Linked DNA regions of Notamacropus eugenii. The protein of the gene in region 4 interacts with the protein of the main gene of each other region in a pairwise test. Links are inferred from orthologs where the notes say so. Each region holds a gene or a part of one and is shown on either strand. Other genes may lie near its edges. The genes, in order: protein NKG7-like, COQ8A, ACSF2 and AGTRAP.

Region 1 (6,337 bases), about 26 Mb from region 4:
ACCCTTCCCTTTGAGGGGGGCCCCACCTGCCTGGCTCACTCCCAGCTCCGCCAGCCTGCTCAGGAGACCCTTCCCCTTGAGGGGAGCCCTCCCGCCACCTGCATGGCCCGCACCCAGCTCCGCCAGCCTGCTCAGGAGTCCCTTCCCTTTGAGGGGGGCCCCACCTGCCTGGCTCACTCCCAGCTCCGCCAGCCTGCTCAGGAGACCCTTCCCCTTGAGGGGAGCCCTCCCGCCACCTGCATGGCCCGCACCCAGCTCCGCCAGCCTGCTCAGGACACCCTTCCCTTTGAGGGGGGCCCCACCTGCCTGGCTCACTCCCAGCTCAGCCGTCCTGCTTCAGCACCTCCCGCCTGGGGTGGGGAGATGTCGGGTTAGTGGGGGAGGGGGACCAAGGTCTCTATGAGGAAGGAGTTCCAGAACCCCCCTACATCTCATTAAAGGGACACACACACACATCCCATTCCTTGAGGAATTTCATCCTAGATCATCATCAGGACAGAAGGAGGTTGGACGCAAGGACTCCTGGTTGGGAGGAGAGAAGGAGGGGAACAAGAGGGTTCTGGGAGCAGAGACAAAAGAAGGGGAAGGCTGGAGAAATGGAATAGGGAGAACTTTGGAAACAGTAGCCTGAGAAACTGGGAGGAGAGATGGGGAGAATGGAACGATGAAGAGGACAGACAGAAGGGAAAGGAGATGATGGGGGGACACTATGAAACAGGATGAGTGATGGTGGAGAAAAAAGGGTATCTGGGGAAGACTGGAAGAGGTGTGTTGGCATCAACAACATTGGGGGAAGACTAGGACATAGGGAGTACTGGGAAATTGGGAGGATGGATGACTGGAAAACTGACTAGAAGCAGAGGCTAGGAGATGGAGAGAAGGTGAAAGGCTGGGTGGCACTGGAAGGTGGGTATTCATGGGACACTAGATAACAGTGTTCTAGAGGGCAAGGAGTCAAGGGAGAGTGGGAAAGGATGTGTGGTTGGGAGGAGTGTTACTGGGAGAGGGTGAGAGATGGAAGGGGAAAGGAGACAGAGATGCAGGGTTCAGAGAGCCAAGCAGAGTGGGGACTCAGGGTTAGTTCTGGGAGTAATGAGACACAAATCAACCCGATGGGCAACTTTTGATTTATTCAGTGAATCTAGGACCGCTTTCTCAAGCTAAGGTCTCATAGTTGGGATGGTGTACAGCAAGACTCAGGACTCCTGTTGTGGTAAAGAGAGGCAGGCTTCAGAGAAGATTCATTTTGATCCCCTCTCCAGAAGCCCCCAGGTCTCATCATGTACCCCTCCCCACCCCATTCCTGCCATGTTCTCCGTCCTGATCTGGGGCTTCTCTAGAGGCTCAAGAGGTAAGGGCCACTTTGGTCAATCTGTCTCTCTTCCTGGGACAGGAGGCCTCTAGTCCTCCACACATTCCCCATACCTCACTTCCCCCACTCACCAGTAAAAAAGAAGAGGATGACAGAAATCCATCCCATGTAGAAGGACCAGCCAAAGGTGGTCTGAATCTGAGAATCACTTGGCTCATTCCATCGCTCTCCAGTGTAGACAGCCATTCCCACAGTGTTGCAGAGGGCTGTGAATGGAAGCTGTGAGGCCCTTCTCTCTTCTCCAATCTGCCAATTCTCCCCACTCAGCTTCTCTCCTTCCCCTGCCATGAGTCTTACCTGCAGCAAAGGCTGTGATGCAAGAAATCAAAGAGGCCAGGTGACTGAGGCTGAAGGTGAAGAGAGATGAAGTGATGACGAGGATCAGACAGGAGATAGACAGCAGACCCGCCAGTGCAGCCAGGATGATGAAGGCCCGGGTGGCCTGGATGAAATCTGCAATATGGGTGCTAGCAGCTCAGCCCAAACTGGATGTTCCAAGGTGAGCAAATCCCAGGGGCTGCCCTCTTACCTTTCACAGAATCCTTATCCGGATGCCAGAGGCCAGAGTGGGCCTGGTGTTTAGGGCCTACAGCTGTGATCCAGTTATCAGTACTCAGTGCAACTAGCAGGAGGGTCAGAGCAAGGCTCTCAGAGAGCAGGGCAAGCACCCAACGGAGGTGCATTCTTGACCCAGGTCCTCAGGAACTAAGGGTGCCTTCTTAGAAGTGGGCAGTAGCTGGAAGGCCAGTCACCTGGGTCCTTGGGCAGTGGAAGCCAGAGAAGAACAGAGAGCTGGGATCTTGTAAGCAGGGTAGGGAGAATTTGGGGGGCAGCCTGAATTCCTAGAAATTCTTACTGGTGTACCTGGGGACTGAGAAGTTACAGAGGACTGGAAGTCAAATGCTTGGGTTTCAGGGGCCTGGGAGGGGACTGACACCTGGCCAAGCGAGCAATAGGTTGGGGGCTCCAAATGTGGGTCCCGGAAAGGGAAGCGGTGGGGGATTTCACACCAGATTGATGACGCAGACCATCTTTATACTCCTTTTCTCAAGCCCTGAAGTCACTGTGGTCTGTGTGGGGCTGGTCAGGGCTGGGTGTAGGGAAAGACAAGTAAGGCTGACATAACACCAGGTAGTGAGGATTCTATGGGATATTAGGGGGAGAGGCTTCTCCCTCCTGTTGCCTGAAAGAGGAGGAAGTATCCTGGCGGTGGTATGAAGTTACTCTAGAGCATGCGAACACCCACACACACACACACACACACACACACACACACAGTGGTACTCACCAGGATGTGGGGAGGAGGGGATGTGGCTAGTAACAATGGCTTGGTAAAGCTGACTCACTAAGATTCTGTTCTGGGAAGGGGATGGTGTGACTAGATCCCTGAAGAGAATAGAGGCTGGAGGCAGGCACTTGGCTCCCCAAAGGGCTTGGCACTGGGAAGCCTAAGGCAATGTGGAACAGATACACAGTGGGGAACTTGGGAACTAGGACTCCTGGGGCCAAAGGTATTGTAAGATCCCAAGGAGCTGAGGAGGTTGAGATCCTGGAGACTTCATGGCTTTGGGACATGACATGTCTAGGATGCCAACCAAAGGTTCCGTTCATTTCCCAAAGATGCCACTGGTCAGACTCTATGTTTATCTGTTTACTTGGTTATTCACTGTTTTGGTTTATACAAATGATTTCTTAGCTGGAAATCTGGGGTGGCTTAGACACTGCTTCAGGACACTATTTCCTCCTTCCTCCCCGAGCATACACAGAGTGTAGAGCCAAGGGGATTCTGAGGGGAAGAGTGACAACAAAGAGGAAGAGGTCCTGAAAACAAAAATGTTAGAATGGATGAAAGGGGTCTGCAGAGACAAGCTCAGAGCCAAGACCTGAGAGGCTTTACACACACACATACACACACACACACACACACACACACACACACACTCTCTCACACACACACTCACACACACTCACACACACCCCTGCCCAGGTCCAGCCCAGAAAAGCAGCCTTCAGCTCATGGTTGACTTGGGTTCTTGGGTTGACGTGGTTGTAATTCTGCTTCTTGGCTTCACCTTTTTGGAGTGCCTCCTCACCAGTGTCAGAGAGCCTTTGAGAAGGGAGGCCTCTTACTTCCCATTCTCATCCCCTTCTCCAAACCCACCTCACCCATACCCCATCCGCATTCCCATGCTCATCTCCAGCCTCACCCTTATCTCGTTCTCCCTTCCCAATACTATCCCTATCCCCGGCCCTTTTCAGCCCCTATCACCAACTCACCACTCAGGAGGTACAGTGTGGAAGTACCCCAGCCTAGATAGAAGACCCATTCGAAGAAAAAGTGATTGGTGCTATGGATAGATATTACGTGCATGCTGACCATGAAGATGCTCTGGCCAACAAGGCACAGTAAGGCTGCAGGAAGAATTAGATGGTGTCATCACCCCCGAACAGCAAGTGTCCAGTCTCCCATCACCTCCTGACCAAGCCCTATAGGGATCCTTGGAGTCTAGATTTCTTACCAGTGACAAAGCTACACAGGGCAGAGAAAATGTAGAAGAATGTTCTATCATTCACTACATTGATCAATATCAGGAAGATGTCCAGAAAAGCCAGGAAGCCTGTTACAATGGCCATGCCCATCAGCACTTGGACTACCTTAATTAAGACTGGAGAAAGGCAGTGATAGTAATGGCTAATCACACACACATGCACACGCACGCACACACACACACACACACACACACACACACACACACACACACAGCCCTAGGTCCCCAAGATCAGTTTCTTGTGACTACATACCCACCCACAAGAAGAAACCTTCTAATGGACACCAAGCTTAAATCAGGTTCAGTAGACTTGGAGATCCCCTTTTCCCCTATCCTCTATCTTTAGCCCCATGTTCACCTTCTCTAGCCTCCATATTTATCCCTTCCCCATACATATTCACTACCTCCTTCCGTATGCTCATCCCCACTTTCTGTCCTTCCTTCTCCTTATCCCCATGTACCTGACTTCTGAATATCCTCACACATTTTATCCCCACAGGGCTTCCATAGGCCCAGGTAGAAATGGGTATGAGACACTTGAATCTTCAGCCAGTAGGGCAAGAACACGGTGAGAAGGAGAAGCATAAAGCAGAGGGTGTTTAGGGCCACTTTGAAGGTCACCAGGCCCGCAGAGTGGCTGAGTGAATTCCATTCCCGTTTCTTCATTTTCTCCTGAAGGCTGAAAGGCTTTGGAGTACAAGGAAGGCAAAGCCTAGCCCAGGCTTGTTCTGGGAGCCTGGCCTTGTCCTGCTTTGCTTTCTCCAGTCCCTAATGTTTGACCCCAGTTTCCCTTAATTTCTGCCGACCCCTCTGCTTTCATTCAGATGTCTCACTGTCCTCCACAGTTATTTTCCATCTTTTTAGTTCTTGATCTCTTCTCTTCTCCCATCAGGTTCCTCCCAGTCTCTTCAGTTCATTCCTTATCCCTTCAGTTCCCTCCTAGTCCCCTCAGATTTTCCCCTGGGAACAATAGTTGAGTTTCCCCTCCCCAGGCTTCTCTTATCTTCCCCACCCACTCAGGGACCCCAACTGCCATAGAACTTTCCACGACCCCACCACTGACATCTTCACCCCCTCCAGTTCACGGCAGACCAAGGGGGATGAAGTGAAGCTTGGGGTTAGGAGTGAAGATAAAGATAGGGAATGGGTATGGATTTAGGGGTGGGGTGACTTGGAGGTGGCCTGGGGAGGGTGGTGGAGTTGAAGTTGGGGGAAAGGCTAGAGGATGGGTTTAGGGTTGGGGTTAAAATAAGTGGATTTCGGAACGGAGTTGGGATGGACATCAGTGATCTTAGTGGGTTTAGAGATAGGGATGGTGGAGGAGGGGGTACAGATGAGGAGTGGGGTTAGAGATGGGGATTACAGGGACCAAAATGGGATTAAGTTGGTCATTGAGATGATGATGCAATACTGGGTTGGGGAAGAAATCCCAAACTTTCTTTAATGATAGCAACTCCATTAGGGAAATTGACATTCATCTCTCTTCATCCTTCCGTTGATATTCCTTGTTCTCCGGCTTTCCGTTTCTGCTGAACTTGGCTTCACCACACTCAATATGCAGGTTCCTGTCTACACCCTCATTTTCTCCAAGGACCCCAAGGGGTGGAGACAAATCTCACAGAGAGGGCAAATCTTACTTTGCTGGGAGAAGGGAAGTTATGATGTAGGAAAGGAGGAAATTGAAACACCTCCAACAGCATCAGGACCAGGGAAATGTTCCTGAAAGTCAATATTTTTTACCATCCAGAAGGAGAATTCTGACCATGGGGAGGGGGTAGTGGAGGGTGGGTGTCTTTGAGATATTGGGAGCAAAACTTTAGACATTTGTAGAAGTAGAAGAACTCTGACTATCAGAGTGGTCGTGATTTAAGGTACTCATAAAGAATGATTGAACCCTAAAGCCCAAAGGGTATGAGGAGGTTTTTAAATTTTGGGAGACCCAAGGCTGCTCAGTGACCCAGGATCTGTTAGACATCTGGGAAAAGGAGGCTCTAAATTTCTGGGGCTTTGGGGGACTCTCAGAAAGCTCTGGAAGTAAAGAAGCTTTTGGGGGCTTTGGGACCCAGAAGACCTCAAGTGCTCTGGGAGACACTGATGTTTGGGTCTGTAAGGTGTCAGGTTGCTTGGAGACCAGGGGAGCTGGATAAATCTGTGAGATTATTGGGTTTGGGGAAGGTGACTGCTTCTCCAAGGGATGTATCAGAGAGTTGGAGAGATGAAGATGATGATAGAAGATGAGGGACCCTGGGGAAAGCAGAGGTACCAGCTGTACTCCCAGGAGTAGGAGGCTCATGATCTTTATTTTCTTACATTGGCCTCCATGCTCCACCCCAAGATCTAGCCCACTCAGTATGACCACTCCATATCCCTTTTCCTTCTCTCCTCTTCCCCCATCACTATTGTTTGTCTGGTTCCT
Region 2 (8,050 bases), on a different chromosome or scaffold from region 4:
CCATAATTTATTCAGCCATTCCCCAATTGATGGACATCCCCTTGACTTCCAGTTTTTGGCAACTACAAAGAGTGCTGCTATAAATATTTTTGTACATGTGGGACCCTTTCCCATTTTTATGATCTCTTGGGGATACAGTCCTAGTAGCGATACTGCTGGGTCAAAGGGTATGCACATTTTTGTAGTCCTTTGGGCATAGTTCCAAATTGCTCTCCAGAATGGTTGGATGCGCTCGCAGCTCCACCAACAATGAATTAGTGTTCCAACTCTCCCACATCCTCTCCAGCATTTATCATTTTCTTGTTCCGTCATGTTTGCCAATCTTATAGGTGTGATGTGGTACCTCAGAGTTGTTTTGATTTGCATCTCTCCAATCAATAGTGATTTAGAGCATTTTTTCATATGATTATAGATATTTTTAATTTCTTCTTCTGAAAATTGCCTGTTCATATCCTTTGACCATTTATCAATTGGGGGATAATATTATATTTTAAAACTAAGTCAATGTGCAGCCAACGTGCAGCAGGGATCTTTAAATATCAAGGATTCTCAGGCTTCCATTTCTATTTGAGTCTGCACCGTTGGAATAGAGCCTTTAAAGTTACCCATGCTTCTACATAGTCTTGTTTTTTTGGAATAAGCAATAAGAAAAATGCAGTGGGAGACAAATACAATGAATGAAATGATCATGTGGGACAGAATGGAAGAAGAACCAGGAGAGAGGAATGTCACCAAAGCCAAGAGGGGAGATGCTCAGATGACCCTGGAGGAGAAAATGATGACTTTGAACAGCCTGGCTTCACTTAAATCCAGTTCACCTGCAAGTCAAGACATCACTTCCACTGAAGTCACTGGTCCTTTTTGGGAACAGAATAAAGGGCAAACAACAAGACACAGAGGAGAGACTGTATCCAGGAGGAGAAGGTGGTCAAATGGAGTCAAATGGAGAAGAAAGGTCAAGAAAGATGAGGACTGAGGAAAAAAAATCAACTTTGTCAACGAAGAGAATTTTGGGAAGATTGGAGACAGCAGTTTCCAAAACAGTCTGAGGTTGAAAGCCAGGTTGATAAGGGTTAATAAGGAAGAGAGAGGAGAGGGAAGGAAATGCTGGCAGTGAGTATAAATAACTGATAAGTAAATATCTAAAGTTTGAATGAGAAAGAGAAGAGAAATAAATGACAATAACTAGAGGGCCTAATGAAAGTTTTTTTAAGGGAAGACTAAGGCATGTTTAAAGTTAGTAGAAAAGAAACCAAGAGGAGCAGTAGGGAGAGCGTGAGGATTAGAGAATGAGAGGGGATGATTGGTTGTTCTCATATAGATTTTATATAGATCAAAAAGTAGACATGTGGCTCAGTTGTTATTAATGCTCTCTCAGTTACCTTTTGAGGGTCTATTTTCATTTATTTAGTTAGTTTTACTATTCTTTTGTATCCCTAGCACTTAGCACAGTGCATGACACTTAGTGTTTCTTGATTGTTTGCCTGCTACTTCTTTAAATATCTTTGGTTTAAATGAGTTGTGACCTCTGGCTGACTACAAGGAAAACAAATACATTTGTGGGGGCTTATGAGCTATCATTTTGTATGGATATGGACCTACACAGTGTCTTGGAGCTGGGGTAGCTATTCTGGATGTTGTATCTGGGAAAGGGCGATGCCCCTGGTGCCAGGCTATTTCCATCATCAGTGACAGAGGAACATTTGGTCCTTGGAACCTTGATATCTGATGGGTTACTCAGAAGTAGAGACGGCCCTTAGGAAGAATACTTGAATCAAACATAGTACATGCCAAAGAAGTTGGTGCTGGAACTGATGAAATCCTAAAAGCAAGAAAGACTACTTTACCAGACTGCTCAGCAACTGAATGTTCCAGACAAATTGGGCTAATCTTTGTCTCCTCGTTCTGTTTGCTTCTGTCTCTATCCAGGTCTTGATTTTACCATTCATAACCTTGTGTACAAGTCATTTAAACTTTCTGAACCTCAGTTTCCTCATCCATAAAATGTTTTGTGCTATTCCACAGGTGTGTCATGCAGAAAGCTTTTTGTAAACTGGATTGCCATTTATTCGTTCAATATGAGCTATCAGAACATTGGACTTGGCAATCCAAAGAACTTGGGTTTGAATGCCAGTTCTGATAAAATGAGCTGGCTGTGAATTCTGAAGAAAAAACAGAAAACAGAGCTTGTTCATGGGTTATGCTGAGATGTTCCCAGGTTCAGACCACTAAATTATTACTTTTGTGCTTATCATTTCCCATCGTACTGGGGATTACTCTTATGTTATTAGGTTTGGCAGTCCATCAAGTCCCAGCCTGGGTTGGACTTTCCTCAGGGCTTAGTCAGTGGATGGCTGAGTAGGCTATACCCTTAGCCCTCAAAGATGTGATCTGTTTATGTTGGGTTTTCAAAATTCAATATTCCAGAAGGGGGTTGCTCTTGGAGGAAATGAACCATCTTTTTGTGCATTGGCCCTGGTGCCTGCTAAATTCTGAAACTGGTGCTGCCTGCTCGGTCTGTCTACATCTAGATTTGCTTATCACACACTCAAAACAAAAATGAAAATGGTGTTAGTTCCTCACTCTTCAGATTTTATAGTATGCATAACACTAGAGCTGGAAGAATAACTACTGAAGTCCTCTAGTCAAACTCCCTCATTTATAAAGAGGAAATGACAATGCAAAAAAGCTAACCAGAATTAAGATCATAGGATCACAGTATTCAGAGGCAGTTACATGGCTGGATACTGGATAAAGTACAAAGCTGCCTGACCTGGAGTCAGAAAGATCTGAGTTCAAATCCTGCCTCACATATTAGCTGACCAAGTCTCTTCACCTCTCTCAGACTCAGTTTCCTATCTGTAAAATGAGGATAATAGCACCCTCTAGAGTTATTGTGAGGACAAAATAAAAATATTTGTAAAGTACCTTTGCAAACTTTAAAGTGCTTATATAAGTGCCAATTATTATTATTACTATCTTCATTATTGTTTAGAGCTTAAAGGGACCTTAGAGGTGAAGATGACATCACCCGTTAATGGCAGAACTAGCACTGAAACCTAAGTCTTTTTAATGTGAGTGTTCCTCCAATGACATTATGAAGAAGACAGAAATGGCACAATCCTGACCACTGAACCAACTTTTGGAGATGTTCAGGAGCTTAAAAAAAGATCCTGTGTATATAGTAATAATAACTCACTTGTTACTAACCTTTCAAGATTTGCAAAGCCTAACTCCTGGTTTCTCTGGCTTTTTTCAAATCTCAGCTAAAATCTTTTATAGAAATTTTGCCTTTTATTTTCCTGATCCCCCTTAATGGTAGTACCTTCTCTCTGCTGATTACTTCCTATTTGTCTTGTATAAAGCCTGCTTTGTATTTATTTTTGGCATTTTGTCTCCTCCATTATATTGTGAACTCCTTGCAGTAGAAACTGTCTTTTGTCTTTCTTCGTATCCTAGGCACTTGGTTCAACGCCTGTCACTTAGAAGGCAGCAGATAATGCTTACTGACTCACTGACAGCTACCAAGTGAGGCAGATCCATCTACGCCTGCTATCTCTCCTCCTGGGGGTGAGTCCCTGCCCAGCTAGCCCTCTAAAAGTAGTTAACTTGAAAGGTTTCCAGCTAGTGGGCAGGACCTTCCAGGGATTGTACAAGAGAATTTCAATGACACCGATATTTGTGTGAGGTCTAGAATCCAGGGTCACCTCTACACCACGGTAACTCAATGAGGTAGGCCTTTGGTGGAGTGTAACCACCGCACATGCGTTTGTTACTTAAACACATTGAGAACACAATTCACACACACTCTTTCAGGCGTTTTCGGATGTGCCTAATGCCAGCCTCTTAATAGTCATCGCCCTCCACCAGTTAATGAGGGGGCACTGGGAGAGAAGCAGTAGTCACTCTCAATTCAGGTTGGTGGGTGGGGTGGAGCACCTGTGAACCCCAGGGCTCCTCCTAGGACGCAGCCCCCTCAGTCTGAAGCAGGTCACTCTCCCCACGTCACACCGCTACTCGGGCCGGTGTCCCTTCATCCCTGACGGGCCCGGAGTCCTTACAGACCTGCTTACTTGGTGCAGGCGACGGAGTTCTGAGGCTGAGCAAGGGAAGGGGATAGAGGAAGTCAACAGCGAACAAGGAGGCTGTTTATTCCTCCCCTCTGCTGCCATCTGAAATGCTCTCCCTCCCCTTCTCCTTGGGGCAGCTAGGGGATAAAGTGGACGGAACAAGCGGCTTGGAAACAGGAAGACATCTTCAGGAGTTCACATCTGGCCGCGTAACCCTCTTTGTCTCAGTTTCCTCCTCTGTAAAATGGTCCGGGGCACCCCACAGGGGGTCCTGAAAACAGCCACAACCCCCTCGGCTCCATCTTCTGGCCTGCGAAGGGTCGCTTCCAGGGGCAGGGGCCACGTGCCCGACACTGAATGGATACACGCATCCTGTCCTCCCCATCCCGGCCCGCTGGGCCGTCACTCCGGGCTTGGAACAGCCTGTTTCCAAGGGAAGAGTCTTGGGCCAAGGCCCTTCGCATCACTTTTTGTGCTTTGATGTTTAGGAAGAACGACCCCATCGGGGGTCAAACAGCACCCACAAGATGAGGAGAGGGAATGAGACCCAAGGCTGGTAGGACAAGCGGCGGCCGGCTGTTCGCGGCTCTCACACGGGCCAGCCAACAGTTAACGAGCACCTCCGGGCCGGGCGCTGGACGAGGCGCCCGCACACGAGCAAGGGCCCAGGACGGCTCCCGCCCCGAAGGGGGGCGCCATCTAACAAGGAGGACCACGTGGAAACAACTGCGCGCAGAGGGGCGAGCTGGAGAGAGCGTGACGGGCCCTCAGGAAGGGCTTCGTGCACCGGGCGGCCTCTGAGCTGGGGCTGGAGGAAGGCGCGGGGGCGGCCCCGGAGAAGCAGCCACGAGTGGAGCAGAACGTAAGGCTGAAAGGCTGGGGGCCGCGGAGGGAGGGCAGGGTTGGACTGCAGGCTGGGGGGTACGCTGAATGCGGTGGGGGATGGGGAGGAGAGAAAGGGCGGGCAGTGGAGAGAGGCCCAGCTGCGGCTCCCCGGGAGTGGCCCGAGTCTTTTTCATTTCCCCCCCCTTGCCTGAGGCCAGGCCCTGAGGGGGGTCTGGCGACCATGGCCGCTAGCACCATTTCCCGCGGGGACGAGCAAGCCACAGGCCTTAGGCAGAGTGAGAAATGCCCCGCCCCCCAGCCCTTGCACCAAGCAAACGGCCTACCCAGATTTACAGACCGAAGAGGGAGCAGGGAGGTGGGAGGAGCAATGAGCGTGGGGGAGGGGCTGGGAGCGGCCCAAGAAGAGCTGCCTCCCATTGGTCTAGCGTCTCTCCGTTCTCGCTCCCGATTGGCCCAGGCGTCAGGAGCCCCGGCGCGGCGCACGGTTCGCGACTCAGGGCTCGAAGGGGTCCTCTAAGCTCCGGCTTGTAAGGCTGCCCGGGCCCACGTTCCGAAGGAGGAAGCGGCGCAACCAATCGGAGCGACCGCGGGGGGCGGTGCTTAGGCCGCCCCAGGGCCTCGCGCGGCGCGGCTGGAGAGTTGGTAAACATACCTCGAGCGCGTGCCGGACCGCAGCGCTGAGCGGGAGGTGCGCGGCTGCAGGAGGCGGAGGCGGAGGCGGGCTGCTGACCCACCTCCCCAATCCCAGGTAAGGCGGCAGCCCCACGCACTTGCTGCATGCATGGAGAGCCCCCGCCGCAGCCTCCGCGCCCTCCCGCCCCCTCGGACCTCAGCACCCGGCGGTCCCTGTGGATCCCGTCCGCCGGAGCGGAGCGCGGCCGGCAGGGTCCGGGCTCCGAGCCCCAGCCCTGGAGCGCGCTGCCGCCCCAGCCGGTGGGCGAGCCCCGGCGCGGCTCGTTCCTGCCCCGCACCCCTGTTTGCCTTTTCCGAGTCCTGATTCTTGAGCGCGCTGGCCCCGGGCCCAAGGGCTAGTTCTGACCTTCAGTGCCTGCAGAGAGGTGAAGCCCAGCCCGGGTGGGGTTAGCCCGGGAGGACGGGGCGCTTCGGGGGGAAGAGGTGTCCGCGCGGCTGCGGGAGCTGCCCTCCACGCGCCAGCCGTGCCCACGCCTCATCCACGCCTCCACGCCCAACTTTGCCGGCCATTGGGCAGAGTCCCGTGCCGCCCTGCCCGGACGCCTGGCGGTTGGCACTCCTCGCCCTTGGAGGTTTAGGTGTAGACTTAGGCTGGCCTTGTGTTGCCTTTGGCCCATCCTCTGCCAGGTCCCAGGATGTGGGATTGGGAGAATCCTGGCCCTGAGGCTTGAGAGTTGTGTGAAGTCTGGGCAGAATGCGGAGCCTCTTAGCCTGGGCAGTGGAAATGCTTGACCTGCCTGCCCACGGGGTCTAGTGGGGAAACCATGCCTCGAGGGCTTTCTAAATAGGTGTTCCTGAACGCTTGTTTGTTTTTTGGAGGCCTTGCTCTATCCACTGGGATACCCAGCTGCCCCCTAAATTCGTGATTGAAGCACTGGCAAAGGGTGACTGTCAGGGCTTCTTTCTGGCCAGAGGACTTGAAAATGCCAAGCTGCTGGTTGTCATGCTGTAAAAGGACAGGCTGAGCTGGCAGGGGCTTGAAAGACTGACTCGGAGTGTGGCAGGAATGTCCCTTTGGAGACAAATCACTCCTTATGGGTTGAACCAAGAGCCTGGAACACTTAAGCTAAGTCTTAAGAAATGAGGGGAAAAATGAACAGTAGACAGTTATTTTTACTATTGACATAACCTTCCTTGTGTATCCTGCAAGAGAAGTGAGAAGGTTGGCTGTCTTTGCACCCACTTAGGATCATAGATTATAGATGGAAGGGATTTCATCTACTCCAGTGCTGCTTAATCTTTTCTTGGGTGTCATGGATCTCTTGGGCAGTCTGGTGAAGCCTATAGATCAACTTTCTCAGACTATGATTTTAGATATTTAACATTTTAAATGTTTAAAATAAATTTCATAGCGAAAAAAGGAAACCAATTACGTCTAAATAGTTATCAGATTTTTTTTTTTAAAGTTCATGGAACTCAGGTTAGCTACCCCTATTGTAGTCCATTTTTCTTACCTTACAAAAGAGGAAGCTTAGCTCCAGAGGATTTAATTGACTTGGCTGTGGTACACAAGTAGTAAGTGGAGGAGCTGGGATTTGAATCCAGGTACCCTGATTCCCCAATCCACTGCTCTTTCTTCTGTCATGCTATTCTACTTTACAATCCTTTTTATTTCTTTTTTATTAAGTAAATGTTTTATTGATGCTCTTTTTAGAAATAAATTTATTTAGTTTTAAACATTCACTTTTATAAGATTTTGAGTTCTAAATTTCCTACCCTCCTATTTCCCCAAGACAGCAAGCAATTTGATACAAGCTATACATGTACAGTCATATTAAACATATTTCCATATTACTCATGTTGTGAAAGAAAAATCAGAACAGAAGGGAAAAACTGCAAGAAAGAAAAAAACAGAGAGAGAAAAAGTATGCTTTGATCTGCATTCATACTCCATACTTTTTTCTCTGGATGTGGATAGCATTTTCCATCATGAGTCTTTTGGAATTGTCTTAGATCATTGCATTGGTGAGAAGACCTATCTATCAAAGCTGGTCATCCAACAGAATTGCTGTTACTGTGTACAATGTTCTGGTTCTGCTGTCTTCATTAAGTTCATGTAAATCTTCAGGTTTTTCTGAAATCTGCCTGCTCATCATTTCTTAGTGCATAGTAGTATTCCATTAGATTCACATACCACAACTTGTTCAACCATTCCCCAGTTAAGCATCCCCTCAATTTCCAGTCCTCGACCACCACAAAAAGAGCTGCTATAAATATTTTTGTACATGTGGGTCCTTTTCCCTTTTTTGCAATTTCTTTGGCATATAAACCTAGAAGTGGTATTACTGGGTCAAAGGGTATGTATGCACAGTTTTATAGGCCTTTGGGTGTAGTTCCAAATTGCTCTCCAGAAGAGTTGGATCGGTTCACAACTCTACCAATAATGCATTAGTGTTCCAGTTTTCCCAAATCTCCAACATTTATCATTTTCCTGTTTTGTC
Region 3 (7,932 bases), on a different chromosome or scaffold from region 4:
TCTCCCTGAAATTATCTCACTAGTGTTAGCAGTGTATGGCATGTACACAGTAGGTACTTAATACATGTTTATTGACTCATTGAAAATGAAATATCAAAATGCAGGTTTTAATTTAACCTAAGAATCAGAGACTACTGGAACACAATGGAATTGGAAACTCAATGAGATGAACATAGCTGAAGGTCTTACACTAGGTCAAGATTTAGAGGCCTTCTATTTAAAAAAAAGAGCACAAAAAAACAAATACGATCATTACAAAATCTCATTATTGTAAAGCATTTTTTGGCATGCAGATGAAGCAACTTATGCAAGATCAATTGCATTAATAAAAAAACCACATCTGGTTAGTAATAGATAAATTGTACTTCCTTCTTACCTCAAACCCCCTAGAATCATCAGTTTCCATCCATCCATCAATCAACCAACATTTATTAATTACCTACTATGTGCCAGGCACCATGCTAAACACTGGGGGATACAAAAAGAAACAAAAGACAGTTCCTGTCCTCGAGGAGATTCATATAAACAACATACAGGAGACAACATAAACAAACATAGAGGCAAGCTATAGACAGAATAAATAGGAAATAATTAACAGTTAAAGCACTGGAATTATGAGGAGTTAATTAATCACTGATCAGGGGCTATCTTATACCTTTGCTGATTCTCCTCTCCTTCCTGATACCCATTTTTACTGCTCTCTTCCTTTTTTGGGGATGGGGGAAGGCAAGGCAGTTGGGGTTAAGTGACTTGCCCACAGTCATACTGCCAGTAAGTGTCAAGTGTCTGAGACTGGATTTGAGCTCAAGTCCTGCTCTGTTCCCTATTCACTATGCCACCTAGCTGTCCTGGTTCTTCCTTTTGAAATTATTCCATGTGCTTATAATATTTATTTATTTGTGTGTGTGTGTGTGTGTGTGTGTGTGTGTGTGTGTGTGTTCTTCTTCAGCCTTGAGAGCAGATTGTGCCACCTTTACCCTTATTTTCTGGTCCCTAGTACAATGAACCCTCAATAAATGTGTCTCAAATGTAGATGTCCCTCATCATCATTGGATCATAGCTTTAGAAGTTGTCTAGTCCAACCTGCTCATTTTAGAGATGAGGAAACTGAGGCCCAGTGACTTGGTCAAGATCTTACAGGGAATAGATAGTAAAGCCAGAATCTGAACAGAGATTCCCTGACTTCAAATTCAGTATTCTTTCCTCTGAGCCACACTGGAAGTAATATGAGATCCCAATTCTTAGGTTCTTACCCTGGTGACTAAACTTATTTTAAACTTGCAGATTGTGAACTTGTTAATTTTGTAGAAATATTTGACAAATGTATTTCAGTGTAATTGGTTTCCTTTGCAATCTTATGCATTTTATTTATGCATTTAAAAACATATCCTGAGAAGGGGTCCATAGACTTCACCAGACTGCCCAAGGCATACAAGACATGTAAAACACACTTGCCCTAGTCTGTAGCTTACTTAACTCATGCCTAAATCCACCATTGCTTGGAATATACTTCAGAGGTCTTGAGTCAGTCCTTGTGCATGAATCAGAAACAAGTGGTCAATCATTAAGCCTCTGAGAATACTTTCAGTGGCAGATTTGCTTGCTTCTTTCTCCAAATGTGACTCTTGTAGGCAGCTTCAGACTTTTGTGTATCCATGTAGCACAGCTGTCCAAACTGATTTTGCCTTATTTTATCTCTTATTTTCTTTATCCAATTAAGTTTCAGACCTAGCATCCTCCTACTCTTTTCTTCACCTCTGAAATCAGTCAATGATATAGAGAGCCTTGCTCCACCTTCTTCCATAGTCCACAAGGTCTCCCTGAGGCCTGTTCTCCTAACTAGTGAGTCTTTAGGCCTGACCACCATTTCATGAAGGTCCATAGCCATGCATATTTCATGCCAGACTGACTTCACTTCCTGACCTTCTCCAACTTGTAAGACAGCAAGCGAGCCTTACCTCCTTCCTGGATACCCGCCCCTCATCCCCTTTATGTGTGGTCTTCCCCCATCAGAGAGTAAACTACTTATAGGTAGGACTATCTTATTTGCTTGTGTTTGTATTTCTAGCACTTAAAACAGTAATTCTCACATATTTAAGTACTTAAATTCTCTCTCTCTGTCTCCCTCTCTCTGTCTGTCTCTCTCTCACTTTCACTCTCTCTGTATATCTCCCCCTCCCCCTCCCAGTTGTACTTGTAGCAACGATGGGACCCAGAGTCTCAGTCAGTACCCACTGAGCCTACCGTGGGCTCCCACTTGAAGGCCTGAGATGATTAATGAACATCCATGAAGTAAATATCATAATGTCTAACTCCTGAACAACATCCCCAGTGCTCAGAAGTTGACCCCCACCAAAAAGGATCTTGACCTCAGACCAAGGGGGAATGAAGAAGAAATCAGTGAGAAGCAAGAAATCAGGAAGAGTTCTGCACATTCAACATTTGTGAGGTCACAATTGTGAAGTCATTCCCGTTTCACTCCACTTAATACCCTAAACCCCATCCGCATTATCTGAAGATGTGTAAAATTGTGATGAAAGAGAACTCCCCTAAAGTGGGTTTTACCACCGAAGATACAAGAACCCAAGGCTGTTGATTGGGGAGAGCCCAGGGGAAGGAATGACTCCTTTCCTTCTCCCACTTCCACCTCAGGCCTTGAGGATCTTAGCAGGCTACAGAGGGTCCTAATCCCCTGGGGCCCCAAAGGGATAGTTGCTCTAACTCCAATCAGAAAACAGGCAGGTCAGGCAGAGAGCTCAGCAGCCCTGGCCAGAATGGAAAAGGGAAGAAAACAAGGGAGAAGAGAAGAGAAGGGGAGTAAGAAACTCCGGACTTTGGGCACAGAGAGGTTGGGGGGGATGTCAGCTCCAGAACACTCTTGGACCAGAGGGTAGAACATCCCGACGGGATCGCAGAGCACCCCACCATGGGTTGGAGCGACCCTAAGTGCCCCCTGGAGTATCTAGCTCCTACATTCCAAGTCATCCCAACACCGCCCTCCCCACCCCCAGCTCCCAGTACCTGAGCAGGCGGATTTCCTGGAACTCCGCTCTCCGCCAGCCCCGGACAGGCACTAAAGTTGAACGAACCCCCAATACCCCCATCACCCCGGTTGGCAACCGCCCCAACTGTCGCACCCCAAATGAGACAGCCATGGTCTGTTAGAGTCAGCACCCCTAGCCCAGCCCAGCGACTAAACTTTCAAGGCAACTGGAGTCTGGGGGGGGGGGCGGGGGGGAGAGAGGGGAAGATGAGGAGAAGAGGGGAGGAGAGAAATGGCGAGGAAGGGGGGAGGGGGGGTGCCCAGCCTATGGCGGCACCCCAGGACTGGAGCGGGGGCGGAGCGAGGGCGTGTCTCCCAGTCACCCCGCCTCCCTACTCAGCCCCCAAGACTTCTAGATCCGGGCAACTCATCTTCTATACTGCTGAGGAGAGTGTAGCTTGGCAGGAGGCGGGAGGTCTGTCATGGGGATCCCTTCAGGAATTGGTAGAGTTCACGTTGGTTTTATAGGTGACTGGGACGGGACCTTTCCTTTTGCTCCCTTCTTAATCCGGAATTGGAGAGGGAGAAGGGAACTCTCTTCACTGGCCAGTTCAGGTCATTCAGCAAACATTGCCAAATGCTTTCTGTATGCTGAGCACCGGACCAAACTCTGGGGATGCAAAGAAAAGAAAAAACAAGTGTAGGAGAGAAGAGAAGTGGTTAGTGAGAAGTCTGCGCGCTCCTCTAGGTTCCAGGTGTGTGACTTCTGCTTCTGAACCGTCCCTAACCGTCCCTGCCTCCGCCCACCACAAGCAGTCCGTCATAAATCATTCCCTTCCAGCGCTAAACCCTGTACTAAGAACAATAATTTTGGAGTGCTGTTGTCGAATCATGCCTCTGGTCACTAGCCTAAGAGATGGTGGACTACAGGTGAGAAATGGGGCACTCACTTTCCAACACCGACAACGTGACAGTTCATTTTGCTTGTGTACTAATTTGTTCCAAGAAAAGGTTCTGTGGCGGAAAGGAGGAGTAATTGGGAAGTGCCAATGATATGTGTGTGTGGAAATAAAGAACATCAATAAAACATTCATTTAAAGTTATTGAGATTTCTGTCTAGGAAGTCCACTGGTAGAGAAAGCTCTCTTCTCAGATCAGGGCTCTTTGTTAACATTTACTACTGTAGCCAGAAAAGATCCAAGTTTACGGGACTGGGCTAATTCTGGACTGAGCCCTGGGGCCACAGAGGTGATGCTCACTTTTCATTTCACATTAATCCCCACCTATCTACCTGGATTCTCAAGTTAGAGAATTATAAAATCCTGGATTTTTATTACACTTGGAAGATCTTAAAGATGTCCTAGGCATGAGCAAGGTGGAGGACCAAAGGATAAAAGAAGTTAGAGCCAGAAAGGACTTCAGGGATTAGCTCATCCTACCTTCTCATTTTACAAAATGAGACAACAAAAGGTCTCTTGTGAACTGATATAGAATCCTAGAATCTCATAATTGAAAAGAACTTTAGAGACTGTCTAGTCTAACTGGTTCCAATAGAATGTGAGCTCCTTGAGACCAGAGACTGTTTTTTCCTCCTTCTGAATGCCTGAAGCTTAGCACAAAACTGTCACAATAAGTACTTAATAAATGCTCATTGACTGACTGACTGATTGGTATATGACCAAATATCTGCTCTACATAATATAGTCTTCAAGCCCCAACTTCTGTGAAGTGGTAGCCACCTGGAAGAAAGATGTCAACATTTCCTTCCCAGAGATCACAGGATCTTGGACTCAGTTTGGAAAGACATTTCCTTGCCATTTTACAGGTGGGAAAACTGAGGCCCAGAGAGATTAAATGACTTGCCTATGAAGTCAACCTACTTCCATCCTTTTTTTCTTATAGGTGCCCAGTCTAATCAAGCACTTGACCTCCCCCCTCCCAACTCCCTTCCCAAGTAGGAAGAGATATGACCAATTTTTTTTTTCACCAGAAGCAATTAGCATGCAGGAGGATTCTTTTTGTTGTTCAAATTTGTTGTTCAACTCTTTGTGACCCCATTTGGGGTTTTCTGGGCAAGGATACTAGAGTGGTTTGCCGTGTCCTTCTCCAGCTCATGGTGATTTGGGCTTAAGGCGTGGTCCTTCAGGGATCAAAATTTACATTCCTTTGGGCAAAACACCCAAAGGTAAGAGTCATTGTTTGGACTCAGATTGTCTCAGAGTGGATATAATAGTCACTCTTTCTGTTTTGGTCAGAAACCCTGAGGGTATTCCCCCCCTGGATTTTTTTTTTTTTTTTTTACTAGACGAAGAGACCATTCTTTGCCTCACTTCTTACCTAGCATTAATCACTGAGTGGCCTCTGCCTCAGTCAAACTGAGACCTGGGAAAGACCTTAACTTAAATGACCAAGGTCTCCCATTGCATCTTGGGCCATCTCCAGTTGTCCTGATCTATATCTGGACCCAGATTTTGTCACTCCTTAACCACTCCTTAATTCCACCCCAAAACACCTAGTTAGCTTATTTGGCACAAGTGATACTATAGAATATCCAGTATAAACTTGCTCTGTACCCCTCTAAGGTTGCAGGTTTCCTAAGAACTCTTACCCACTGAAAAGTGTAATAAATCTTTACCTTGATTTCAACAATGCTTGAATTCATGAATTCTTCTCCGGATGACCTGACTCTGGTACCCTGGTCTTTGTGGAGGTCTCACACCCCCTTTCCAGCCCTCATCAGTATCTCTGCCAAGAAAACACCAAATGGAGTCATGAAGAATGGGACACACCTGAATAACAACAAAGTAAATTATACACATTATGCAATATGGTTATTGTTTGCCTTTAGGGTACAGTGGAAAGAGCACTGATTCTGGGGTCAGGGGACTTGAGTTTGAAGCCTGCTCTGACCCTTACCATCTTCTGGACTTCACTTTCTTCATCCATAAAACGAAAAGGTTGGGACAAGGTGGCCCAATTCTCTCCAAGTTCTAGAACTATGATCCCATTTTCTGTAACCACCCTTTATGCCAGTTTAGCACCTTCTTTAAGTGTGCCTCACTAGTAGGCAGCATGGCTCTTGAGGTACCTCACTCAAACCTTGCAAGTCACCCTTTTTGTTATCTAGGGGAGAGGGAGAATTCTATTGCCTTGTTTCTTTTCCCTTTCTGTCTATTCAGGGAAGGTTCTAGCTGTTTCTGTTTTCTTCCTGTTTAGTGCAATGGATCACTCAGAGCCTGAAGGTTCAGACAAACAACCTTTTTACTAAAGTTATATTATTTCTGCTTTCAGAAGGCAGTTTCAGTTCACAAGGCAGTTACAAAGCATTTTGGGAAGAAAAAATCCGCCCTCAAGATGTTTAAAACAATCAACAAGGGGATTCCCTGAAGTTGTATGAGTTCACTGGCAAAGTGCTAAAACTGTTTTTTATAGTCTTCTCATAAGATAGGCCTACAGCTGTCCTCACCCCTCCCCAGTTCTACGGATATCCTGGCCCATAGCAGGAGGTGAATGAAATTGTAAGTTTAGCTTCTGTTTGCTAGACTGAGTTGTTACCTACCACACCAGGGCTGGCCCCAGACAAAACTGTGAAATAGATAAATTCTGTCTTTAATCCTTTCCCCATCTGGTATTGAAATTACAGTGCACAGATTAAAATCCAGGTTCTCTGACCCTAAAGCTGAATTTCTTTTGATTGATTTTTCTAAATACTCTTTTCCCCCAATTACATGAAACAACAATTTTTAATACTCATTGGGATTTTTTAAGTTTTGAGTTCCAAATTCTATCCCTTCTTTCCTTCCCTCTATCTTTCCTGAGATAGTAAGAAATCTGATATAAATTACACAAGTGCAATAATGGAAAACATTTGAATATTAGTCATTTTGTGCAAGAAGAGTCAAACAAAAAAAGGAAGGAAGGAGGGAGGAAAGGAGGGAAGGAAGGAAGGAAGGAAGGAAGGAAGGAAGGAAGGAAGGAAGGAAGGAAGGGAAAAATAGTATGCAAAGCTAATACTGTTATTACCACAACTCACTATCTCAGGTGGGGTGGGCAGGTTGGAGACCAAAGGTCTTTCTTTTGCCCCAAGCTGTAACTCTGAGGTGTTAGGGCAGAAGTTAGGTCTTGGCCTAGCAAGAAAGAGTCCCTAGCTTGGTCCCAGAGAAAGAGGAAATCATATCTAAGTGTCAGAATCTCTAGCCCTTGATCCTGTCCCTCTACAGCAAACCTTACTCCACCAACATGAGAAATTTCAAAGAGTGATGACAGGTGAAATAATTTGTCTACTAGGACCTTCCCTAATATGATTTTATGTGCCATTGCAAAAGAAACCCATCCCATATGGGCCCTTCCTTTAATGACCTTTGTTCCTTTTTAAAATCCTTTGCCAGGGTCAGAGAGTAGCAAAATAGTGCGAAGAAACTTGGAGTTTGAGCTCAGGTTCGAGAATCAGGCCCTTGCTGTTTTGCTTTCTGATCTTGGAAATGGATGGAAAAACCAGCTAGACCATTGGGAGAGGGTTCACCAGGATCCTAAAGTAGGAGGGAAGAAAGAAACAGCAATAGATACTCATGCAATGGATGGACTCACCTGGGCTCACCACCATGATTAGGCAAACTCTCAGATCCCAGGGCCAGAGCAGGGGAGGAGCAGATGTTGTTAGAGACAAAGAAACAAAAGAAAGAACAGTATAAATCTTTCTTTTTGTCCCTCCTCTGTCTCATCCCAAGGCTCTGTGCTCTCCTGTTTTTTCAGCTGGTTATCTTCTCTATCAGCATCCTACCTTCCCTCTAGGTTAGAAGTCTCTGAGTTGTTTTTTCCAGAAGAGAGGTCATATCTTAATTTTCCAAGCAGCGGAACTGTGTTCATCAACTCTAATTTCCCCTCTTCCTTACTCTTACCCCTACCTTAAAGGAGTTATTTCACTTAGTTTGGGGGTTCTGTCTTGAATG
Region 4 (8,373 bases):
CTTCCAGGGTTGTTGTGAGGATCAAATGAGATAATATTTGTAAAGTACTTATCAGCACAGTGCCTGGCACATACTAAGTCCTATAGAGATGCTAGCTATGATTATTAATATTATATTCTTATCATTATTGGGTAAAAATGCTATCATGGAGCGGGGAAACACCTCAGTCTAGGCTGTCCTAGCACTGTCTCCAATACAAGAAATGAGTGGGCCCTTGACCCTGGGCCAAGAGTCAGCCTTCCTGATTAATAGCCCTTATCTCTGTGTTGGTGGAAGAACAAATAAGCATGGCCCTGGGGGTGGGTCGGGTCTAGGGCAGAGGAGGATGTCGGAAGTGAGGGACCCCCACCCCCAAGAGCAGCATTTTTAGGCATAGTCACAGCTAGATGCTTTAACATGAAAAAGGGGTTTCATTAGTCACGACTTTCTTAACCTGGTCTAAGTAAACAATGGGGACAAATAAGTAACCAGGGCAGTAATTGGACAGTGAAAGCAAAGGCTCCTGGAAATGGAGAGTGCTCTCCCTGGCCAGAGCTGCAGGGAGGTGGGAGTGGTGGGGTTGCTGGGATGGGCTGGGTCCTCTCCTTTTTGCAATCCCCAGCCCTTCTTCTTCTTCAGAAAGTCCCCATGGGAGGTCTGTAGGTTAGAGGAGCCTAGGACAAGTACCCAGGCCTGTGATCACAGGGTACTCAGCCCTTTTCTTTCTAAACAAGCCCATCGAGCCTCCAGTAGTCTCAGTTCCTTCTTCCCTCCATCTGTGTCCTTCCACTTATATCCAAATCGTCAAGAAGTCAACAAGTATTTAAGTGCCTGCCATGTACCAGGCCTGGTGCTAAGCTCCAGAATCTTCCTCCCTCTGCACCTGGATGGCATCCCTCTGTCCCCTGATGGCTTCCCTCCTGGTTCCCCCTCTGCTCCTCAGTTTTCCTTTTGTCCCTTAGCCTTTCAGCCACCCCATCTGCTCTTCCTTATCCTATATGCCCAGCTGCAGGCATTTTCCAGCCTCGGTGACCCTGGGTGAGCCGTTTAACCCGCTCTGTGCTCAGTTTCCCCATTCAGTCGATCTCTTTCTTATTCCCATAGAAACCCATAGCCTGGTTTCTCAGTTCTGTCAACTCTATCTCCTCCACCCAATCACTTCCCTCCTAATTCTCCATTCCTCCTCTCCCTCATGATTCCACTGCAGTCAGTCAACAAGCATATAGTGAGGGCCTCCTCTGTGCCAGGCACTGGGCTAAGCATTGGAGATCCAAAGGAAGGAAAACACCAGGCCCTGGCCAAGGGGCTCGCAGCCTAACATCTAAAATAACATGCAAACCTCCATGCTCAGGAGCTAAGTCCAGGACATGTGGGGAGGGTCAACACAGGGAAGGGGCTAGACTGAGACAGGATGGGGAAAGGCTTCCTCCAGATGCTGGAATGTTAGCTGGGTCTTGGAGGAAGCCAGGGAGAAGATGGAGATGGAGAGGAGAAGTATCCCAGGAATGGGGGCTGGTCAGGGAAAACCTGAGGGCCTCCTCTCCAACCACACCCTGCCTCCCCCAGGCTGTCCCCCTCCCCCATAACTCATTCTAAGCTTTTCTACCCCTCACTCCCAGGGACTCTCTCCCATCTGCCCACTGGGCTTCCTCCTCCTCAGTTTCTAGGTTCCCTCACCCCTAAGAACTCTGCCTTGTCCAGCTGCCCCACTCCCCATCTCCTCTCCTGCTAAGGAGGCCCTTAGCCCTCCCCAGCGTAGACTTCCATCCCCTGGCCCCCTTCCTCCCTTTGTCCTCATTCTTTCAGACCCCACCTGCTGTCTCCGCACCTCTCCAGCCCCCACATTCCCTAAGACTTCCATCTTCCTCATCCTTTACCCTTTTGTCTCCCTCTTTCCTCAAAACCCTCCTGTCCTCAGTTCCCTGATCCTCTCTCCTTCTTGTCCTTTATCTGATATAAGGGAACTGGCCTGGTTAGCCTGCCCTCAGCTCCAGGTCCCCTCTCTCCCTCCTAAAGCTCTCCTCCCTCTAATCCCTGGTCCCTAGTTCTAACAACTCCAAATCTATGACCTAGCCCTTTAGCTAGATGACCTTCTTTGAGACTCACAACAAATGCCCGGAAGTGGGTGCTACACCTCATACACAGGACCCATTTTTGCAGATGGCCTAACTGAGGTCCAGGGAAGTTAAGTGACCTGCCCATGATCACAAGGCTAGTGTTTGAGGCAGGACACATCTTTCTGACTCCAAGTTCAACATGCTTATCCACCTTGATAAATATATATACACATACATATGTACATATATACACATACATATATACGTAAATGTGATGGTTCATGAATCTGGTCTCCTTAGGGAGGTGTAGGGTTTAAATCCCACTTTCTGACACCATGAATGTTTGAAGAGAAAAGATGGAAGTTTTACTAAAGATTTCTGCGACAGCAAGAAAACTTACCCAGAAGCAGCCTGTCACAGGTTACAAATTCCCCTAAAATTTACCTTATACAGTTTTTTTAAAGCAAAGTACAAATGAATGCCAAAGCTGCCAAATTCTTAAGCGACACCCCAAACTTCTGCCGTCTCCTCCTCATTCGCTCTTCAGTCTTCAGTAAACTGGGTAAAACATGCTGCGAGGTCGTGTGTACATATATCTATCTATAGATATCTATATCTATATGCTCCCAGGCGGATTGGATGGGGGGGGGGGGGTGTCGCTTGGAGCACATGCTCCCCAGGCTCAGGTGGGGCCGGTTTTCTAGGCCTGGATAACTTCTCCAGGCGCCTCCCTTGTCCCCCTTGATCCCCGGGCTCCCCTCTCCTCCCGGCCCCACGCCCCCTCCGCCTCCTCTCTCCTCGGCGGCCCTCCCTTGCCCCCCTTGATCCCCGGGCTCCCCTCTCCTCCCGGCCCCACGCCCCCTCCGCCTCCTCTCTCCTCGGCGGCCCTCCCTTGCCCCCCTTGATCCCCGGGCTCCCCTCTCCTCCCGGCCCCACGCCCCCTCCGCCTCCTCTCTCCTCGGCGGCCCTCCCTTGCCCCCCTTGATCCCCGGGCTCCCCTCTCCTCCCGGCCCCATGCCCCCTCCGCCTCCTCTCTCCTCAGTGGCCCTCCCTGGCTCGCAAGGCACACGACTTGGAGCGGGTCTGACCCAGCTGCGGGCATCCCAGCCTCGGTGACCCCGGGCGGGCCTCAGTTTCCCCGTTCGGTCGATCTCTCAGCCCCTTCCCGTCCCCGTCCTCTCCCTCCTCTCGGCCCCCTCTTCTCCTCCACGCCCCTCCGCCCCGGGCACCCCTTTGTCCCTCTCGGGCCTCCGTCCCCGGGCCCGCCCCGCTCCACCCGCGGCCCTACCTTGAGGTTCACGGCGGGCAGCTCCATCCCAGGCCAAGCCGGGGCCGGGACCGGACGGCGGAGAAGGGGGCGGCGGCGGGGCTGCGGCTGCGGCTGCGGCTGCGGATGATCGGACTCTACCCGGAAAGTTGGGAAACAAACTTTCCCGGCCCCGCCTCCTCCCCCTAGGTCCGGCTCGGGCGGCCTGGCCACCTGACCCACGGCCTGTGCACGTGACCGCGAGCCGAGGCTGGTTGCTAGGAGACGGCGTCACCTTGCACCGCGCTGCGCCCCTCCCCCTCCGGCCGGGCGGCGCGAGCCCAGCTCTCCCCCCGCCCTTCCCCCCGCCCCTCCCCCCGCCTCGACATTGGGCGGAGACTTCTCTAGGGAGGGATGGCCTGGAGGCCCCCGAGCCCGGCCCGCACCTGAGGTTCTCCCTTCATCTCGGGCCGCCCCTGGCCCTAAGGATGGACCCCTGAGGCTCGGGAGAGAGGGCGAAGGGCTGTGGGCAGGAGCGAGTCTGGGGGAGCCGCGCCCCCTCCCTTCCCAACACCTGCCACCCCCTGGTGGGCGTCTGCCCCCCCTGCGGCCAGGGGCGCTCTGTCCCTGCTCCCCCCTGGCCTAGCCCCGGGCTCGGGCCACGCACGCATGCTCCCTCTCTAGCTCTGCGTCCGTCTGTCCGTCTGTGGTTCTCTCTGGGTGTGTGTCTGTGTTTCTGTCTTTGTCTGTCTGTCTCCCTCTCTCCTGCTGCACCCAATTAGGGCAAGTCGTCTTCTGCCCCTCTTCCTCCCCCTGATCACCAGGCCCAGAAGTTCTAGGCAGGCCCTTCCATCACCCTGTAGAAGAGGAAGGGCATTCTCCAACCGCCCCCCGCCCCCATCCTTCCTCCCTGATCTGTCTCAGTTGTTCATGTATGGGATGGAAGACTGATAAAAGAATCTGTAAGTCCCCTGCCATCCTCTGGTATACTACAGCCATCATGTAGGGAGCAACCCTGGTGGAGAAGGGCCAACCGGCATCCCCTGCCCACCTCCAGAGGTAACAGCTGTCCAACAAATGCCAGGGATAGACCGGTGAGTCCAAGAGCTCCAGAGCACTGGCCCAACCCTGCTCCAGGGGAAGGGCTCAATGAGATGAGACCCTTCAGGTGCCACTGTAGATAAGGAAGGCCCCAACTCCTCCACAAACCACAGTTACTGGAGACTCCAAAAATGAGGTTCTCTCACCACTAAGTCTTTGGCATTTTCAAATGAACTGAAATTTGGCATTCAGTTATTTAAAGTTTTTCCCCCTGGGAAGAGAGCCATAGGTTTCACCAGGCTGAGATGGCTCTGTGTCACAAAATGTTAAGAAACCTAGCCCTAGGAGAACTGTGTTCGTATCAGAACCAAAACCCTGCCCTTCTTCCTGTGCCCTGAATCCTTTTGAAAGAGTTCCTAATAAACCATGTCAAATATATACCATGTGAAAGGAAAACTGCAACAGCTTTTCCGAAGGAAAGCCTAACACAGCTTTGGAAGGCTAGGGAATGGGACAAATGCCTGACTGGGCTCACATTCTGTCCCTCACAGCTGTACTATGGGAGCGTTGTGAAAAGGCATGGTTGCCTTTCCCTACCCACATGAGGGAGAGTCAGGATAATTTTCACTGTGAGATGAATACTGTCAACTTCATCCAGGAGACACATGAGCATTTCCCCAATAATTCAAGGAGGACTCCTGAATTTTGTGCATACTCGCAGGAGGGGAGAATGGTCTGAGTCCTTGGGATCTGTCTTGGAATTATGGGAGTTTATTCAGTCTCCTTAATCAAGTAGATTATTCAGTCCTGGTTGAAACTAAAATATTGAAAAGGGTAAATTCTCCAAGACAACAACACGTTTGTAAGCACTTTCCACCCAATGACCCAGTGAAGTACTGTAGGTATTATATCCATTTTTCAGATGAGGAAACTGAGGCTCAGAGGTTAAAGTGAATTATCTTTGGTCATGCAGCTAGTCATGGTTGGAGAGAAGAGGTTTGGATTGGGGTTTTCTGCTTCCAAGTCCAATATTCTCTTCATTAAGCAAGATAACCCTTTTCTGGGAGCCTACAGACATGTGGCACCCACAAATCATATAAGCACAACTGAATAGTTTATTTTTCCCTATCCCTCTTCCTCATTCCATTGCTTCTTCATCTCTATGGTCCTGTCTCTCCCAGCCATCCCTACCCTTGTGGTGCAGTCAAAGACATGGCAGATCTAAAGGGAAAGGGGTATTTAAATACCTCTCATATAAGCTTGTTAAGGTAGGATTTAGGTTAAATCCCACATGGTAGGATTCCACTGTACTAACAATTTATGGGATTTCAAGATCAACCTCAAAAATGAGGCCTTTTCTGATCTTCTGATAATGAGTCAGCACTCTCCTTTCAATTTTCTTTGTACAAATTTCCCTGAATAAAATGTTAGTTCCTGGAGAGCAAGGACTGTTTCATTTTTGCCTTTCTATTTCTAGTACCTAGCACATAGCAGGTCCTTAACAAATGCTTGTCAATTGCTTTTTTCACTGTTTGACAAGATATATTGAAAAGTGTATTAATTGTGGGGTCAAGAAAACCTGGGCTCTAAATCTACCTCTGATACTTCTGACTGCGAGACCATGTGTGAGACCAAATTCACCTCTCTGATCCTGTTTTCTCTTCAGTAAAACGTAGTGCTTACTGCTGAGGACAGTTATAAGGATTAAATAAGATAATGCTTAGAAAGAGCATGGTGATTCTTCAATCTCTCTCTATAAATGTCAGCTGTACTTATGGGGAGGGCCTACAAATTTCTACATACCCTGTTTATGCTATCTAGGTCTTTCTGGGTGAAAGGGGGCAAGACTCTTATCCTCATTTGTCTGTATCATCATCCCAGAGCATAAAAAGTGATAGGTTCATGAGAATATGTGGGGATAAAAAATTCATGGGCCACAGGTTAAAAGAGTAAAATAATAAGAGTACCCAGCAGGCCTCTGTACCCTGAGGTAAGAAAAGGACCCAGGGCTTTGTTGTGTTAGATTAGGAAGGGGGAGGCGAGACCCAGAGCAGGATGAAGGACAAGGGATGATCTGTTTAGTTCAAAGAACTGATACTATATTCATTCCCAACCAGCTAATGCTGGTGCTGGAAGCGTAGGAGGGGCAGCAAGTTAGAACCAGTCGAGCTGGATTCAGGGAAAGTAAAATTATGTTCCCAGAGGGGGCAGAGGATGTAGTACTGAGTTCTCTGGGAGAGATTTACAGCTGGAAGTGTAAGCTGGGAGTTAAGGGGATGATAGGGAGGGAGTCACAAATCAACTCCACGCACAAAGAATTGGAGGTAATTCAAGGTTGGAAAACACATAGACCTGAATAGTAGACTCCTGAATTTTGTGCATACTTGCAGGAGGGGAGAATGATCTGAGTTCTTGGGATCTATCTTGGAATTATGGGAGTTTATTCAATCTCCTTCATCAAGTAAGGAGTGTACAACAGAGCAGGGCTACGCCTCCTTTGTTTTAGATACTGTTACAGTAGCTACCAAAGCCCTAGGTTTCATCAGGTCTGTATATTATGGAGGGGAAGCATCTTGGATACAGTATCAGAAGTCTGCAGTTCAAACCCTGACTCTTTCATTTGCTCTTGGTATGACCTTAGACAAGCCAACTTCACTTTCCTGAGACCCAAGTGTCCTCATTTCTAAAATGAAGGATTTGAACTAGATGAGGTCCCTTCTGGTCCTAACTCCATGACCCAATTTGGTTTGGGAGCAGCCATATCACCTTGCTGACATGCTGAACTTCCAGTCCACAGGCTTTTTACCATAAGAACTTAACTGTCTCATTGTCTCTTAGGTAAAATGAGGGTGCTGCTAGATTTATTCTTTTGAGTTTCCTTCCTGTGGCAAAGAAAAAAATTCAGAGAAAAATCCACAAAGGTGCAGAGAGAAATTTGTTTCTTTGCTATTAAGGCCATAGATGAATTATTAAAACGCTAATTCATTCTCTGTCAAAGTCTCCAGACCATTTCTTTTCTCCTCAGGCTTCCTCTACCGTCCATCGCATTACCTTGTCAGCAGATCTCTTATGCTTTACTGAGAAAAATAGAGGCCACTCTATGTGAGTTCTCTCTTTCCCTTTTCTCTACATCTCAAAATCTTTTGTCATCATAGCCAATTTCTCCTCCGTTAGTCTAGTCTTTAATGAAAAGAGCATGATAATTCTCGTCAAAGTTAACCCTTCAGTATAAACTTTTGCTCCTGTCCCCTCCTGTCTCTTCTGGCAAATTGTTCCCACAATTATCCCCTGTTTCTTGAAGCTTCAATATCTGTATCTACTGGTTTCGTCCCTGCTCCCTGCAAATATGCCCAGGTCTCCCCAAGTCTTAAAAAACCCTTACAATCTACTATTCCCTCAAACTATCATCTTTCTCTTTCCTTTCACAATAGGGGCTTAATAATAGCTAGCAATTTTCATAGTGCAAAATGTTTTACATATGTATACATATAAGTTTATATATATACATATTTATGTACATATTATCTCATTTGATCTGTATGACCACTATTTGAGGTGCTATTACAATCCACTCATTTTACAGATGAGGGAACTGAGATGGACAAAGGTTACAAGTGACTTGCCCAAAGTCACACAGCTAGGAAGTATTTGAGACAGGATTTGAACTCAGATCTTCCTGACTTCAAGTACAACATACTGGCTCCTTCACTACCTTGATGACTGCTTTAGTTTAATTAATGAATGTTGGATTAGATTTAGCTGGAGTTCTTAAGTTCTAAGAAAGCATACTTATCCAGTGAATGAATTCTGTTTGACTGTACATTGGAAATTGAAGCTGGAAAAGTAGATTTGGGCCACATGGAAAGATTTGATTTTATTGGTTCTCAGAATGACATAGTTCAGCTAGGTGGTATAGTGGTTAGAGTGCTGGTTCTGGAGTCAGAAACACCTGAGTTCAAATCCAGCTTCAGACACATTAGCTGTGTGACTGGATAAATCACTGACTCAGTTTCCTCTTTTGTAAACTGGGGATATTAATAGCACTTAGCT

Evidence for each region.
Region 1: the proteins of AGTRAP (region 4) and protein NKG7-like interact in binary tests that used the Homo sapiens proteins (3 or more experiments, as listed by UniProt). The two-hybrid records come from large-scale screens. The link is inferred for Notamacropus eugenii from reciprocal best matches to the Homo sapiens genes AGTRAP and NKG7.
Region 2: the proteins of AGTRAP (region 4) and COQ8A interact in binary tests that used the Homo sapiens proteins (3 or more experiments, as listed by UniProt). The two-hybrid records come from large-scale screens. The link is inferred for Notamacropus eugenii from reciprocal best matches to the Homo sapiens genes AGTRAP and COQ8A.
Region 3: the proteins of AGTRAP (region 4) and ACSF2 interact in binary tests that used the Homo sapiens proteins (3 or more experiments, as listed by UniProt). The two-hybrid records come from large-scale screens. The link is inferred for Notamacropus eugenii from reciprocal best matches to the Homo sapiens genes AGTRAP and ACSF2.

The regions. Positions count from the first base shown.
Region 1 is NC_092876.1:24,737,158-24,743,494, forward strand, and holds protein NKG7-like, read right to left. Parts: upstream 2,302-6,337; 5' UTR 2,056-2,301; coding exon 1,902-2,055; intron 1,872-1,901; exon of another isoform or gene 1,826-1,871; coding exon 1,670-1,825; exon of another isoform or gene 1,640-1,669; intron 1,579-1,639; coding exon 1,444-1,578; intron 1,206-1,443; coding exon 1,156-1,205; 3' UTR 1,114-1,155; downstream 1-1,113. Other genes in the region: uncharacterized protein, read right to left, coding at 5,738-6,165.
Region 2 is NC_092873.1:409,108,677-409,116,726, reverse strand, and holds the start of COQ8A (atypical kinase COQ8A, mitochondrial), read left to right. Parts: upstream 1-4,757; 5' UTR 4,758-4,932; intron 4,933-5,569; exon of another isoform or gene 5,570-5,664; intron 5,665-8,050. UniProt on the Homo sapiens protein: Atypical kinase involved in the biosynthesis of coenzyme Q, also named ubiquinone, an essential lipid-soluble electron transporter for aerobic cellular respiration.
Region 3 is NC_092873.1:360,429,937-360,437,868, reverse strand, and holds the start of ACSF2 (medium-chain acyl-CoA ligase ACSF2, mitochondrial), read right to left. Parts: upstream 3,388-7,932; 5' UTR 3,156-3,387; coding exon 3,022-3,155; intron 2,277-3,021; exon of another isoform or gene 2,189-2,276; intron 1-2,188. UniProt on the Homo sapiens protein: Acyl-CoA synthases catalyze the initial reaction in fatty acid metabolism, by forming a thioester with CoA. Has some preference toward medium-chain substrates. Plays a role in adipocyte differentiation.
Region 4 is NC_092876.1:51,143,956-51,152,328, reverse strand, and holds the start of AGTRAP (type-1 angiotensin II receptor-associated protein), read right to left. Parts: upstream 3,565-8,373; 5' UTR 3,352-3,564; coding exon 3,325-3,351; intron 1-3,324. UniProt on the Homo sapiens protein: Appears to be a negative regulator of type-1 angiotensin II receptor-mediated signaling by regulating receptor internalization as well as mechanism of receptor desensitization such as phosphorylation.